Linked DNA regions of Caenorhabditis elegans. The protein of the gene in region 1 purifies or fractionates together with the protein of each later gene. This does not show direct contact. Each region holds a gene or a part of one and is shown on either strand. Other genes may lie near its edges.

What was found.
Region 2: the proteins of uggt-1 (region 1) and pbs-5 fractionate together in Caenorhabditis elegans (co-fractionation; one large-scale study listed by BioGRID). This does not show direct contact.

The regions. Positions count from the first base shown.
Region 1 is NC_003284.9:7,492,779-7,502,975, reverse strand, and holds uggt-1 (UDP-Glucose Glycoprotein glucosylTransferase), read left to right. Parts: upstream 1-1,993; 5' UTR 1,994-1,999; coding exon 2,000-2,124; intron 2,125-2,169; coding exon 2,170-2,258; intron 2,259-2,305; coding exon 2,306-2,436; intron 2,437-2,490; coding exon 2,491-2,754; intron 2,755-2,803; coding exon 2,804-3,367; intron 3,368-3,416; coding exon 3,417-3,506; intron 3,507-3,549; coding exon 3,550-4,186; intron 4,187-4,242; coding exon 4,243-4,478; intron 4,479-4,524; coding exon 4,525-5,438; intron 5,439-5,486; coding exon 5,487-6,005; intron 6,006-6,057; coding exon 6,058-6,802; intron 6,803-6,879; coding exon 6,880-7,047; 3' UTR 7,048-7,282; downstream 7,283-10,197. Other genes in the region: F48E3.6 (DUF4220 domain-containing protein), read left to right, coding at 468-716, 810-986, 1,035-1,280; try-14 (Peptidase S1 domain-containing protein), read left to right, coding at 7,412-7,510, 7,556-7,662, 7,947-8,073, 8,126-8,270, 8,322-8,437, 8,524-8,616, 8,662-8,715, 8,944-9,042; F48E3.2 (Major facilitator superfamily (MFS) profile domain-containing protein), read left to right, coding at 9,891-9,956, 10,008-10,197.
Region 2 is NC_003279.8:14,717,660-14,723,917, reverse strand, and holds pbs-5 (Proteasome subunit pbs-5), read left to right. Parts: upstream 1-3,440; 5' UTR 3,441-3,455; coding exon 3,456-3,859; intron 3,860-3,910; coding exon 3,911-4,245; intron 4,246-4,446; coding exon 4,447-4,562; 3' UTR 4,563-4,751; downstream 4,752-6,258. Other genes in the region: sol-2 (CUB domain-containing protein), read left to right, coding at 725-1,203, 1,642-1,747, 1,792-1,997; K05C4.2 (Protein jagunal homolog), read left to right, coding at 2,579-2,887, 2,937-3,197; Y54E5A.8 (Conserved plasma membrane protein), read right to left, coding at 4,933-5,030, 5,407-5,680, 6,239-6,258. UniProt on the Caenorhabditis elegans protein: Component of the 20S core proteasome complex involved in the proteolytic degradation of most intracellular proteins. This complex plays numerous essential roles within the cell by associating with different regulatory particles.

The DNA.
Region 1 (10,197 bases):
GTTTCACACGCTGCCATTTGGCATGTGATATCAGCTACTACCAGTGTTTTTCAGAGTGTTAACATATTCAATAAAAACTGGAACGATTTATTCACGCTCTCAAAAGAGACAACTCGGATTTTCAAAACATTCGAACCTAACAAAACCTTTTTTTTGGTTGAATATTGAATAACTGAATTACTTTATGTTTATCGGAGTTTTCTATCGTTTTTTTTTGCTCTCTTCACCTGTCTCTTTGTCTCTGAGCAGATGCAGATAAGCGACATCTGCCACGTCGTCATGTGTTGACGACCCTCTTCTCATATTAAGTGACCACCCCTTCTGCTCTCGTCTGCTGACTGTTCTTCCTATTCATTTGGGTGTTCCGTTCTACTAGGAGACTTCGGCACAAAATGGCTGAATGGCAATATTCGAACAGTTACTTGGTTGGCCCATTGATAACTTTTACATCAGCTATCAGTTTTGTCATGGGCAAACCCAGTACGGTACAGAATCTATGGAACCCTGAAGAGTTTTATCCAGCACCCTTAATTGCTGCACTTTTCTGTATTTTTGCTTGCGCTTCAACCATCAAAAAGCGAGTTGCAACTAGACCAAGCGACCTTCGAGAACTTGGTACTTCATGGAAAAGAAGCCTTATTGTAGGATATATTCTTGTCATTGGTATAAGTACTGCCTGTCAAGTTACTATTTGGAAATGGAATTGGCACCCAAGAGTGAGTTGTGAATTTCGTCTTTTTTTTGTCCAGATATTAGATATTTTATATTAGACACATTTTTTTTTAATGATTCAAAAAATCATATTTCAGGGTTCATATTCCTTGTTTGTCATATCAAATCTTGTGATGATGATGGTGTACGTTTCATTCGTAACTAATATAGCCGAACAATGTGTTTTTATTTACCGCTGGACGCTTGTTATGCCTTTAAGCATCTTAGCGTCAACAGCTTACATATCAACGTTCATACCATCAGAAGAACCAGGAGTATGTTTTAAGCATAATTGGCATACATTTATCATATCGTTGTTTCAGGACCGATGGCTGTTCAACCTGTACTACAACGTTGTAACTGCTATAAGTATTAAAGATTTGTATGCTGTGCTGGTTAACGACATTCGTGTTCATATCCATTGGGAGAAAGAGTACAATAAACTCAACTACAACATATCTCATCAAGGTGACGAAGTTAACCAATCCGAGTATTCAAGTTCAGATGAAGACTGGGAAAAAGTCGGAGAGGATGATTGTGATGAGACGTTAGATAATTGTGATAACTGAATAGTTTCTAAATAAATTTCTAAAGATGTTGCTAAAGGGAAACCAAAACGTTTTTTTTTGTTTTTCTACAATTTGTTGTATCATTTTTTAATCAAAAGATTGTACATAAATAAGTAATATACAAATTTGATAATCAGATGGAATTTTTTCTTCACGTCAAATTTCCCATCTAAAACTTTTCATTTCTAATGCATTTTTTTTTGGTTTTTAAAATGTCAGTTTTTCTCATCTCAGTATTTTTGTCAAATATTTTTAATATAAATAAACGTATTCTGTCTTAATGTTCCTTGCAACTCAAAATCTATCAAAGTATATTCCAGTACATAGGCATTTAACAAAAATTATAATTTTTAGGAGTTTCCAAATCGATAATATGACGTTTTTATTCAAGAGCAGCCTTTCGACATCTAATTATGGAGACTCTTTCCACATTCCCTTTTTCTCTAATCCTCTCCTTGTTTGAATAGATGAACACTCTCGTTGCCCCCTTCCCTCATGTTTCCTTGCGAGCGTGGCCGACGTGGTTGTGCACAGCCACCAAACGTGCAAAGGCGATCACTGACGCATTTATTGAGCCGACGTCAGCATTACTGGCACGCATTCACAAACTATTCATTTTTAGAATTTTATTTTTTAAATAACACATTTCTTTCTATTTGTCTTGCTATTTTCTGTGAAGAAACTTTAAAAAAATGAAATTTTCAATTTTCCAGGTAATTATGAACCTAACAGGTTTATTAATATTTTTTTGCCATATTGCGGTTCTCGCAGCTCTCGAAAAGAAAGGAGTTCACACATCTCTTAAAGCAAATTGGGATTCAACGTCACTTTTAGCCGAAGCAAGGTTAGTTATTAAAAGTCTTAGAAAAAATACGAAGCGTTTTTTCAGTGAGTTCATCGCGGAAGAAAATGAGAAATTGTTTGTAAAATTCATCGATATTGTAAACAAAGATGTCGGTACATTGAATTGGGAAAAATGTGAGTGAATTGTCAATAATCGGCAATATGATATCTTTGATTTTCAGTAACGGATGAGCAAAAATACGAGTACACAATCAAGACGGCAGGCAAAGTACTGTCAACATCATCTGTGGACCTTCTCAAGTTTGCTTTGGCTCTTCGCCAGTATTCTCCACGTGTTCAATCCTTCCAGCAGGTGATTTCTTTATACTAATGAATTTTATTAGATGAAAAACATTAAATTCTCCAGATTGCTGTTGAATATGGAGAGAAATGTGATGTCTTTGTCGTGGTCGGCGAACAAGTTTCATGTGAATACACTAAGCTGGAAAAAATGATCAAGGACGCAAAAACGAACAGCCAAGTGCTTGAGTCGGATCATATTTTTGGTGAGAAGGATTTGAAGCAGGCAGCGATTTTGTACGGAGAGCTGGGTACAACTTCTTTCGCCAAAGCTTGGGAAAAGTTGAGCAAACTGCAAAAGACCAAGCTCATTTTCCGTCATTTTTCAAAGGTATACTTAAAATGGAAAATGAAACCCCATTTTAAGGAAGTATTTTCAGAAAACTGATTCTCACCCAGTGTCACTTTCCGGATACGGTGTAGAACTTGCTATCAAGAACACGGAGTACAAGGCTGTCGACGAGAGCAGTGAAAAGAAAAATGTAGAAGAAGACGAAGCTGATCTTTTTGGATTCAACATTAAACTTCTCAAAGAACTTCACCCAGATTCCGTAGATGCCATTGAATCATTCCGTGTGAACCTAAAGGAATCCGACGAATTGACTCCATTGAAAAGATGGGAACTTCAAGATCTCAGTTACCAAGCAGCGCAGAAAATTGTCAATGCAGGGCCAGCTGATGCTATTGGAACTCTGGAGGAATACTCCCAAAACTTCCCAACTCATGCTCGTGCTCTTGCAAAGACGTCAGTCTCAGATCTTTTAAGGAAAGAGGTTCTCCAAAATCGCAAGATGCTAGAGAAGGCAAGCATTGAAGTTGGAGAAACATCGTTGTACATCAATGGAATCAATCAAGATATTAACAGCCTTGATTTGTTCAAGTTAGCTGATCTCCTCAAGCAAGAGAATAAACTCGCCGATGGTTTCCATAGTATGGGAATTAACGTGAGTTTCCATGAATACAGAAATAAGTGTAACAATAAAGAAATTTCAGCGCGAGTATTTGTCAATTCTTGTTGGAATGGACACTTCTGATGATGAGAAGACAACTTATGCAGTCGATCACAGAGAGGGATATCCATTCGTAAGCTTACGAAGAAAATACTTTTCTCAAAAACCAATTTCAGTTTATCAATAATCTGGACACTGACAAAAAGTACAAACAATGGGGAAACAGTGTCAAGCTTATGCTCCAACCATACTACCCGGGAATGATCCGACCAATTGCACGTAATTTGTTCAGTTTGGTATTCGTAGTGGATCCAAGTACTTCCGAAGGCCGGAAATTCCTTAGAATTGGGCAGACATTTAACAGTCACGATATTGCTATGAGAATCGGATACATCTTTGCTGTTAACCAGGATACTAAAGCCAGTGGAGAAACAGATCTTGGAGTTGCCCTTCTCAATCTCTTCAACTTTGTTTCCATCGACTCTTCAAATGCCGATGCACTGAAAGTTCTCAACAACTTCCTTGATGACTATCGCTCTAAAGACCCAACTATTGAGGATATCAAAGAATTCTTCGAGGCTAAATTCAGTGATGCCAGCTTCTCCGATGTGTTTGGAGTCAACTCTGATTATGATAAAGGACGCAAGCATGGATTTGAATTTGTGCAAAAGACTGGTCTTAACTCGGCACCGAAGGTTCTCCTCAACGGTTTCATTTTGGACGATGAAGGGGTTCGCGGCGACAATATTGAAGAGACTATTATGATGGAAGTTATGAAGATCTCTCCAAAAATCCAAAGAGCCATTATGGAAGGTATACTTTTTTTAAAGCACTCTCGATTCCTCTTTACATTTTTCTTTACTTTTCAGGAAAACTGACCGACCGTATGAATGTTGGAAACTGGGTTCTCGAACAAAAGGATGTCATGCCAAGAATTAACAAGCGAATTTTATCCGCTCCAAGCAAGAAGACCTATGTTGAAATTCTTGGATCAATGGATTGCAAATCATTGAAGGATGTGGAAAACCTTTCGGATTCGGACAAAGCTGGATGTCTTCTCCAAACTACAAAGTACTTACAAAAAGCATCAGCCGATTCTATTTTGGTAAGAACTTTACTTCAGTTCAGTTTGAATGCATATAAATTTTCAGCCAGTCACATTATGGGTGGTCGCTGACGCCGAGGCTGCATCGGGACGTCGTTTCATTTACAATTCACTTCAAATATTGAAAAACTCTGCCAACTCTAGAGTTGGAATCATCTTCAATCCAGAAAGTGTTGAAAAGGCATGCGAGTCAAACAGCATCTCTTCGTACATTAGAGCTGCTCTTGATTTTCTTCCGATGGACCAAGCTAAGCGATTGATTCTCAAGTTGAGCAATGAGGAGTATGCAGCTGACTTCATTTCTGGAAAAATCACATTTGACGATCTTAGTGTTGGTGGTATGGATACTGCTAAATTCCTTGCCGATAAGAAGAAACTTGACTGTGAAAGAACTCGATTGGAGTCTCAGATTGTGAAAAAAGTACTCGATATCTCATCTGGTGGCCGTGTTGTTGTTGGAAATGCTCTCCAAGTTGGACCTCTTGAAAGCTCAGAACATTTCGAAGCTGCTGATTTCAAACTTTTGGAAAGTATGTTGTTGAGCAGAGGTGCTGAAGTTATTTCTTCTCATCTCAAGAAGTGGGAGTTTGACGTTTCCAACGGAGTTGGATCAAACACGGTTTTCTCGATTGCTGGACACGTTGGAAAGCACGCTTCTTCACAGAAACGCACATGGGTTAGCATCCAAGGAGATGAGCACAGTGTTGTCACACTTCCAGCTGATGAAATGGATCGACCAGCTGTTGACGTTCTTGCCGTTGTTGATCCACTCACTATGGAAGCACAAAAACTCGGATCGATTCTCCATTTGATTAAAAAGGTTACAAACTGCGAAATCAAAATTGTGATGAATCCAAAAGATAAGCACTCTGAACTTCCGTTGAAGAGATTCTACAGATACGCTGCTGCTTCTGAATTGAGTTTCGATCACAATGGAAACTTGAACACAAATGTTGTCAGGTGAATACTTTCTATTTAATAAAACCAATTTCAATTTCACAATTTCAGGTTCGATAATCTTCCCAGTAAGCAACTTCTGACACTTTCGCTGCAAGCTCCCGACTCATGGATAGTGGAAGCCGTTTCTGCCAAGTATGATTTGGATAACATCAAGATGGAACAAGCCAACGGAGATGTCACTGCCGAGTTTGCACTCCAACACTTACTTCTCGATGGACAGTGTTTCGACGAAGTTAGTGGTCAACCACCACGCGGTCTGCAGTTCACTTTGGGAACGGACAAGAACCCTAAACAATTTGATACAATCGTTATGGCTAATTTAGGATATTTCCAACTTAAAGCAAATCCTGGTGCTTGGAAACTAGAGATCCGTGATGGAAAATCTAGTGAGATTTACAAGATTGGATCGCATGTTGGAGCGGAGAAGATTGGGGAGGATGTGCTTCAAGTTGTTATTGACTCATTCACTGGTAAATCAGTAAGAGTTCGTGTTGAAAAACGTGAAGGCATGGAGGAGAGAAATCTTCTTTCCGACGATGAAGAAGGTGTTTGGAGCAGTCTTAGCAAGTAAGCATTTTGTTTAAACTCTTTTGAAATAATCTCATAATGTTATTTTCAGCTTGGTGAGCAGCAAAGAAAAAACCCAGGAAGTGATCAATGTATTTTCTCTCGCATCCGGTCACTTGTACGAACGGTTCATGAGAATCATGATTGTCTCGGTCATGAAGAACACGAAGCATCCAGTTAAATTCTGGCTTCTCAAGAACTACCTGTCGCCACAATTCAAAGAGACACTTCCAACTCTTGCCAAGCACTATGGTTTCGAGTATGAACTGATCGAGTACAAGTGGCCAAGGTGGCTTCACCAGCAGAAGGAGAAACAACGTATTATGTGGGGATTCAAGATTCTTTTCCTTGATGTACTCTTCCCACTTGATGTTCAAAAGGTGATCTTTGTGGACGCTGACCAGGTGGTGCGTGCTGATTTGATGGAGCTGATGAAGTTTGATCTTGGAAATGCGCCATACGGATATGTGCCATTCTGTGAAAGTAGAAAGGAGATGGACGGATTCCGATTCTGGAAGCAAGGATATTGGGCGAACCATCTCGCTGGGAGAAGATATCACATTAGTGCTCTCTACGTTATTGATCTTCAAAAGTTCCGTCAAATCGCTGCCGGAGATCGTCTTCGTGGACAATATCAAGGACTATCTGGCGATCCAAACAGTCTGGCTAACTTGGATCAAGACTTGCCAAATAACATGATCCATCAGGTTAAGATCAAATCGCTTCCACAAGAGTGGCTTTGGTGTGAGACTTGGTGCGATGATGGAAGCAAGAAGAATGCAAAGACTATTGACTTGGTAAGTTGATTGAACACAACTGAAATGCTGTGCCATTGATCTGTTTTAAATTTCCGTGAACAATTAACAATTTTCAGTGCAACAACCCGCTCACAAAAGAGCCAAAGCTCGACTCAGCCGCCAGAATTATTGGAGAATGGAAAACGTATGATGACGAAATCCGGGAAGTCATTTCTGGACATTCTTCTGATAACCCTTCGGATAATGTCATTTCTGAAAATGATGACTCTCACACGGAACTTTAAATTAATCTTTTCATATGCCAAGTTTACCCGTTATTTATTGAAAATGTTTCCAATCACCATTATGATATTCAAAACTCTGGGTATATTTTTTTCCAAATCAGTCGATTCGCTTTTTCTGCTATTTATTTTTTAGCTTTTGACTATGAGAGCTTTCAAAATTTCATTTTCAAATATTGTCAAACTTGTGATGAATCTTTGAAACATTTTTTTGCCTCTCTCTATCCAATAAATATTTTCTTTTTCTTGATGTGTGGGTGTATTAAAGAATGCATTTGCTTGATTTTTCTGAAAGCGGATATTACAACAATATCAATGCGATGCTCGTCGGGTCAAATCCTCATTCGAATCATTTGATCGAAAGAAGATGTTTCGAGCGGTCATCGTTTCCTCTCTACTTGCATTCGTGTTTTCAATGTACATTGCGGACCCGGCAAAATGGGAACGCCATCAGTACTTGGTGAAGGTAAGACTTGCTCAACTCGCTTCGAATTTTATGTTTTATGTTCAGGTACTCACTAAGGATACCAAACTGAAGAATATCTCAACTTGCACGGGAACTCTTTTGTCTCCATCCGTTGTGCTAACCAGCTCGAAATGTTTCCCAGACACCAGAAAGTATGGTTTCAAATTTTTAAATATTCCCGTAGCAAAATAAGAAGCTTACGAACGAACATAGCGCATTATAGTCTCTTACATTTTACACTTTTTCTGCTCTGAATTCGACTACGCAAAAGATTCGTGAATTGGCTTGTTGTGCGGAATGTGCTGACAATTTTCGATTGAAAACTTAGACGAAACTATGCCAGAGATAGTTTATAGAAATATATGTATAGCAACTGTTGGTTTAGAAGAAACGCTGAAATGGATTTTTATTTGAAGGCAATTTAATATTTATTTAGGAACCTTATTGCACAAGCTATTATCAAAAAGAAGGATTCCTCTGCTACCATGAACAAAGCAATGCTTGCTGTGAAAATTGACGGCGACTTGGCTCTGATGAAAATCGATGCGGTTAATGAAGATCATGTAAAAAAGACTCTAGTATTTGCAACTCTTATTAGAGAAATTATTTTTATAGTTTTGCGATAAGGAGCCACACCCACCAAGAGTTGCACGGCTCAACTTCAAACCAAGCTTGACTGATGCTACTTACCGTACAATTGTGCCAAGGGATCTTCAAGATTCCAAATGTAGAGTGATTGGATTTGAAACTACGGAAGATGGTTCGTAACTACAAAACTATGTAGCTACTAAATAAGTTATTATATTTTTAGTGGAAGACTTCGCTACTTCACACAAAGTCCAAGTATTGGATCTTGATGTTCACGCTGACACAGAAAATCTCATGTTCTCAGAAGTTAACAGTAACTCTACAGGTCGTGTTTGCTGGGTAAGCGTTTTTGTTGTTTTTTGGAAATACACACTTTCAAACTTTGCATTACTTAGTTTTTATAAAAAGTAATTGTTCAAATTCAGGATGATATAGGAGCACCACTGGAATGTGTTCTGGATGTAGAAAACAATAAATATGTTCAAGTAGGAATTGTTTCTGGTCTCTACGGGCGTGAGGTAGGCTTATCGCTTATTTTGTCTTTAAACTTATGATTTTTATAGATGGACAAGGAAGACAACAGCACAATGGTGGTTGTCAACTGCTCAGAAGTTCAGGTAAAATCAACGAGCAATTATTCTGAATACATTACGTAATAGAAATTCTTTATAAAAAACCGCATTTTGTAGTGTTGAGAATCTTATCAGACAACAAAATACGCCGGTGATTGATTTCTCATCTTTTGGACTTTCGGGAGGAAATATGAGATTAAAAGAAACGGGGGGCAAGGGGCAAAGTAAATAATCTTCTCCATTATGTGGATTTCCAATATTATCAATTTCCAGACCATGCAATTTGTTGTCTTTAGCGACAATACATTTGTCCATGCTATTGAGAATGTGGACAAGGCTAGCGTTTTTGAAGCACAGGACAAATGCTTCTAATTTAAATTCCACTTTTTCATTCTTCATTCCCTTTGAAATAAATGTTTTTATGATGCAATAAACACTTGTTGGTCCCTTATAACGTATTGATTTTCGTGTGCACATTTTGTGTTTGCTCTGTACTTCTATTCTTACGTTTGCATCTTTCATTCTATCCTTTGGTTTCAATTAAAATTGTTGCAAAAACCTAAATGAACATCGGTCTTTTTCAAGAATCTTTTAGTGTAATAATTGTGTTTGAAAATCAATCAGATGTTTGTTGCAGAAAAAATGAAAAAGAAACATTCTATTTTTTTGAAACAACGAACTTCTCATTACTTCGAATGTTTTATATTTCGGTACTTGTGTAGTACATACCTAGCCCAAAAATGTTAACCATTTTGAAAATGTGTCCGTGACCCTTTGTGTTCATATTATCCTCGGGATCAGTGTTTTTTGAGCATGGAAATACAAATCAATTTCAGTTTTTAATTAAATAATTGTTTTATAAAGAAATGAACGGAAAATGTATTGCAAAATGTTTTTGAACCTGGTATACTTCACAATTACCAAAATTTTACCCAAAAAACTAAGTAAACGTAGAAAATAAATAAGTGTTTAGCTTATTCTAATTAATGAGTTGTCTGTTCAAAAATTCTTTGAAGCCGTGCGTTTTGATGTCTGCTCTTTTGAACTCTATGCTACAACTATACACGTTCTGTGTTGCCATAGAAAATGAATTTCCCATTGGTTTCGCCCATTTCCTCAGCTTTTTCTTTCAGTATTTTGTAGTTAAAAGGCTTATTTAAGTTGTTTCTTTTTCATTGAAAATTCACTTCTTCAGAAAAAGTTTCAGAACCAGTGACAACATGCAAAAACTCAATTGGAAACTACTCATATTATCTGCTGTTCTTGCAATTACTGCCATTTTTCAAGTAAGACCATCGAGTTTTTTTTTCTTTTTGTTTTCAATTCAAAATTTCAAGATGGGATATACGAATGCCTATCCAAACACAGCTATTGGAAGTTTTCGAATATTTCTCAACGAGTCAGCCAATGAGCCATATACACTATCAAACTCGGAATTTGAATGGGCCTGGTCAGCAATGCTTGCAATTTATTTTATTGGATTCGCGGCTGGTAGCGTGATATCGGCTGGCGTTGCAGATAGAATAG
Region 2 (6,258 bases), on another chromosome or scaffold:
ACAAAAACGGGACAACGGGAATTCCCGTTCCCGTGAAAACGCTCAAAAACGGGACAAAAGACGTCCCGTTCCCGTAAAAATGACAAAAACGGGACAGCGGGAATTCCCGTTCCCGTGAAAACACCCCAAAAACGGGACAACGGGACAAACGGGAATTGACACCCTTGCTCGCGGCCACGACACCTTCATGTTTCGAAAAATTTTGAAGAGGAAAAGTGCTTTAATTGGTGGCCGAGGTTTGTTTCTTTCTAGGCTACGTTGCAAAAACTGTTACCTTACTACGTGGCCGTGGAATGAAAATACTCGGACACCAGGTGATTTTTTTTTTTGAAATTTCAAAATTTCAAAATCTATAAAACTATTTCTGTAATGGTGCGTCCATAGTCTGCGGAAAACGGGAATTTCCCGCGTGCGGAAGCGTCCATAGTCTGCGGAAAAACCGTAGTTTCCTCGCTTTTTTTTCCTCAAAATTCAAAAAAGTAGGCGTGGTCTTTTTTCGCTTTCCCATTGCTCAGCTTAAAATTTTACAACCTCTAATTTGTTGGACACGCCCACTATTTTGAAATTGACCAATAACAAAGCGAGAAACTCCTTCTTTTTTCCGCAGACTATGGACGCTTCCGCACGCGGGAAATTCCCGTTTTCCGCAGACTATGGACACACCATAAGAAATTCAAAAAACTTAAAATCTGAAACTTCTACATTATACAATTATAATATTCAGGTGAAATACTGTCACCAGGCTATCCAACCACATATCCGAAGAATTCCACGTGTAATTGGTTGATCCGTGTAGAAGCCCGACAACGAATCTACATTCGAATAGTTCATTTACACTTGGCCCCCACTATTGCAGAATGTGAACGAGCATCACTAACAATAATCGATGGATATAAACATGAAAAATATGGAATTGATCGAAAGGAATCCACGTCAGAGACGTCTGAAGCAAAATTCTGTGGAAGTCAGCTGTATTATGCAGAAGAGGGAATGAAAAGCTATTTATCAAGTGCAAATCGAATTGTTGTACGATTTATTACACAGGAAGGACCACCGTCTTCAATGATTGGGGAAGAGAGGATTGGATTTAAAGTTGTATGGACTGCAGTGGAGGGTCTGATTGGAGAAGGTGATGAGAGTGTTAATGGAAATTCTTGTAAGGATCAATTTATGTGCCATGGGGGACAAGTTTGTGTTGAACAGGTTTGTGAAAAATCAGAATGTTTTCAATGAATCTATATGTAGTTCCTTGTTATTTTTTAGAAATTAACTTGAATCATAAATTCAAAAAAAAAGAGTTGTTTAATTACAAAACTTTTTATTTAATCCAAAATTTTGGGTTAGTGTAGTCACTAAAGTACGCAAACGGAACTACAGTACCCAAAAACATCCCATTTCACGACATTTGCTAGTTTCGAGCTGGAAAATTGATTTTTGAACGGGAGAAAACATAAATTCGACAGTCTGAATATTCGAAAAAAAAGGAGAAATTCTAAAGTTGAACAGAACCTATTTAGAATAAATTTTGTTTTGTAAGAAAAATTAATTAGCCTTTTCGTGATTTGTATTTTTGATATTTAACAAATTGAATTGCCACAATGCTGAAATCCATGTATTTTCAATTACTTTTTTCTACTTCAGGGTCATGGAATTTGCGCTTCACGGTCCCGTCTCTGCATTCACAGCTCTCTCGTTTGTGACGGAATCCATAATTGTGTTGAAGGAGATTTCTCCGACGAGCAACACTGTAAGCTCATTTTCCAGTAAAATCCAAGATCTAAAAATTTCCAGGTTACTCCCGAGAGATAATAACATCGGCGGCACTCGGATTCTCGTTGATTGTGCTCACGATGCTCGTCTTGGTGTGCTGTGATCAGTTCAGGAAGCGGCGACGGCTTCGGGTGATGATTCGGGAACGAAGAGCCGCGTCGGAGAATGGGAAATGTAAAAATATGAATAATAATTCGATTACAACACGGATACAGCCGAACCGGTGACTATTAGAGAGCGAATTGTGAATGTTTTCGCGATTCGCTCGACAAATTTATCGAATTTTTCACAATTTTATAATTTAAAATTGCTTTTCAGTTAATGTAACGGAGCTTTTTTCTTTTATTTTTAATTTGAAACTTTAATAAACATTATTCAAACATATAAATTATTTACTTTCGACAATTTTCAAGTGTTTTGCCTGGCAGAATAGAAAGAATTATGGAAATATTAATTCTTTATCAGCGGGAAAGTAAAAGAAAAATAACGGCAACTCCGTGCGGCGATATTGCGAAAACCGCGCGCGCGCATTGCAAAGGGGCGGAGACTCGTCTTTTTGTCATCTTTTGTCATCACTAAAACTAACTAAAACAAAATTTTCTATATCTTTCGCAGGTTTTCGCTTTTTTAACGAGTTTTCTCATTCTTTCTATGGAAATACTGATGAATGTGTAGAGTTGGTCGATATTGGGACCTGTGAAATTTATACTTTCAGCTCAGATGTTATTCTTCGCTGTTTCTTCTTAATTTCTCTTTTTAATCACTTGAAACTCAATTATATCTTTATTTCAGCTCACTTCAAGCGGGAATGTCATCACGAGGAGTTCGAGCGGCGGGTACCGATGGGACGGACTTCCAAAATCGGCAGAGGGTCGCACAGCACTACCAGGAGAGCGCTCAATACAAGTCGATCCTCAAGTGGTTCTTCGTTCCACACTTCTTGATCCTGGTCTTCATGTGGCTCAAGGTTGGCAGCGAACTCCTCCGAACAAATTTCGGATGGAAAAACGCGTTCTTCGATCGACTGGACATGCCGTCAGCCTACCCATGGGAGTATGTGTGGTGCTTCTCATTCATTCCGATCGTCCTCGCCATCTATTCGTTCCAACGAAACAAAGTAATTTATTTATTGATCAATTTGCCACAAATATAACTTCTTATTTCAGCTCAAGATCCTCCACTACGCCTACTATGCCGAGTTCGTCGTCGGAATCTTCCCATGCATGATCGGGCTTGGAGGACAACTTCCAGAGCTGATGGAGTATGCTCAAGACATGGAGGGAAGCAACACACCGACATTCAAAGGAATCTTCCCGATGGTCATCATATGGTACATCTTCTTCGCGGTCGCACTCCAGATTCACGGATTCTCCATGTACTTCATGCATCACCTTGCCGCCGCATGGGCTCCAGTCAAGCGAGATTAAATTTTCTCCGTTTTGTGATATTATTTTTCAATTTTCCCCCATTTGTTGAGTTGTGTACCTTTTCCTTGTTAATAGTATTTTTATTCAAATTCCTGCTAGTCTCTATTGCCAAATTAATAATTCCATATCTTTTATTTATTTTCTTACTTTTTCTAATTACCGGTTACTGTTCTACAGTTCCGTTGATACTTTTCTGTTTCAATATTGATTGCATTTGTTTCATTTTGTTAAATCAATTTTCAGAATCGAACTCCAAAGATGTGGGGCGAGACATTCGACGATTTCGAGAATGACGAAGGAGAGATGGCAATGGCCAAGCAGAACCTGATCGCCGAGCCGGCTCGAGCTGATTTCACTTTCGCGAAGCTTCCGTTGGGAATCCAGCCCGTCGATTTCATGAAGACTCACTTCGCCGAGACCGCCGGAAAATCCATGCAATTCCGCAAAGGAACCACCACATTGGCGTTCGTCTACGAGCCAGCAACTCCAGCTGACAAGGGAGGAATCATTGTGGCTGTCGATTCACGAGCCTCCAGTGGTGAATACATCTCATCCAAGTCGGTCATGAAGATCTTGGACATCGGAGATCGTATGGTTGCCACGATGGCTGGAGGAGCTGCTGACTGTCAGTTCTGGACCCGAATTGTCGCCAAGTACTGCACGTGAGTTTCAATATTTTCAGCTTCAAAACAAAAATAATTATTTATTTTCAGTTTGTACGAGCTCCGCGAGAAGACCTCAATCACCGTGAGCGCCGCGAGCAAGTACTTTGCAAATACGCTCTATGGATACAGAGGACAAGGATTGTCAGTTGGATCGATGGTGGCCGGATACGATAAGAAGGGACCACAAATCTTCAAAGTCGACTCGGAAGGAGATCGTTGCCAGCTTAAAGTGTGCTCAGTTGGCTCAGGATCTCTGAATGCCTACGGTATCCTCGATAATCACTACAAGCCAAAGATGACGGACGACGAGGCCAGAAAGCTCGGCCTGCGTGCGATCATGCACGCCACTTATCGGGATTCTGGATCCGGAGGCGTCTGCAATTGTACGTGAAGCTTTTTGCTCGGCTATTCCACAAAATGGACCATTTTTCACTAAAAATGGCTTTTATTTTGTCTAAAATTTAAATTTTAGACGATTTTTATTCGAAAAAATTCTTCGGATAAATGAAAAAATTGGTTCATTTTGTGAAATCTCCGGCCACCTTTAATCTAATCGCTTCTATTTTTCATCCTCCAAATTTCAGTGTGCCACATCACGCCAACCGAAAAGATTCGTCTTCCACCAATGGACGTGAGCAAGCTGTGGTACGAGTTTGCCGATGAGCTCGGCAGAGATATCACCTACAACCCAGTCGAGTGATTCAATTTCCCTACGCTGAAATTAATTTTATTCTTCTTACATGTATTTGATGTCTGATCCGATCCCGATTTTTTTTACATACACACCCGTCTTTAAAATGTCATTTATTTCTATTTTTCGTTTCCAATTAATTTATTCTTCTTTTGCTAAATACTCTCTGTACATTAAGTTCTAAAGTTTTCAAGTTCGAAATCCCGAATTTAGGCTTAGAATTTAGAATTTCCCTCGACAACAGGGGTGGCTGGAAGAAACTCTCAATCACATGGCACAAATTGGATTTTTGGAACATTAATATCAAGTAGTTCTAGAGGGATACTGAGATGGAGTTACACTCAAAAGTTTATTGCAATTTTCGAATGTGAAAATCAAGTTAAAGCGATATGTGTCGGCTGGGTGTTGATGACGTGGTGATTATAACAGCTGGAGTCCCATTAGTGTTCCGCCACGCAGGGCCTATTCGTGTTCCAGCTGGAAATAGTTTAATTGTGCTATTATTTGAATTGTTTTTTTCCATTAAAATTGAGAAAAAGTGCGATTTTAAGAGTAATGGGTATCAGTAGGATCTAAATATTTTAGCTACCGTACCCAGGAATATTTTGCAACTTTCTCTAATTTTTTCGACAGCTTTGGATTGTACAGTTTTGGCTGAGAAAGTCAATGGGTAGTTCGAAATTTGCCAAAACTAAGTTTTCCGTAGATCAAACACAAAGGTTGCGCGCCAAATATGATGTTTTGAGTCCTCAATCGGAAAGTACGCAAAGACACACAAAATGCATCAGATTTGACGCGCAAACTTCATTTTTCTTGTTTGTGAAAAAAATATAATATTTTTTTAAAAACTTACAGGACATAGAAGGTGCCACAGATGCCCGTTCTATAAGCTCAATTTGCTGCTCTCTCCGCCTGGGAAGCATCGGACGGCGGCTCTCGGAGCCCACACTATCGCCAGCTTTATTATATATAATGGCACTGGAACGATCGAATTGTGGCTCCTTTTGCATATTATTTATAAAATGGTAACAAGCGGTAAGCATGACGCCCATGAAAATTCCAATGCAGAAGAGTAATCCGACAAGAATCCACGGGAAATCAGATGGCTTGAAGGAATAGGAACTTGGCTGGAAAAATCGAAAATTGGTAAGTGGTCAGCATGCGCGCTCTAATGTTAAAAGAAATATAAATTGTTGGTGTTGGGTCCTGCCGTTATCTAAATTGATATAAACATTTAAGCTACCATAGTCACGAATATTTTTTTTTTTTTTCATTTTGTTAGAATATTTTCGTCGTACAAACCGATAATCGGCAAAATTTTTAAAAAAGTTAAAAACTCTGTAACCGCGCTCCAATGATAAATAATAGAATTGTCGGGTCCCACCACAATCGAATCTTTTCATCTACCTTGAAATTTGCATAATAACAGAAATTGGAAAATTATTTGAAATTCAAAAAATATCTCATTTTTCAGCGGGAATTGGAATTTTACGGAAGCTGGCTTTTTCAGAGTCGATGCACCATGTGCAAAATTTTGACAGGGGATATCTCTTGGTTCATTTTGAAGGTACCAACAAATTTTTAAACTGCAAAATTATCTTTAAAAATTTGGCGTCAAATGTGGTGTATTGTGTCCACAAAGGAAAAATAACCGAAAACACTAGATTTGACGCGCAAATTCTCACCGTAGACGTTTGCTCTTTCT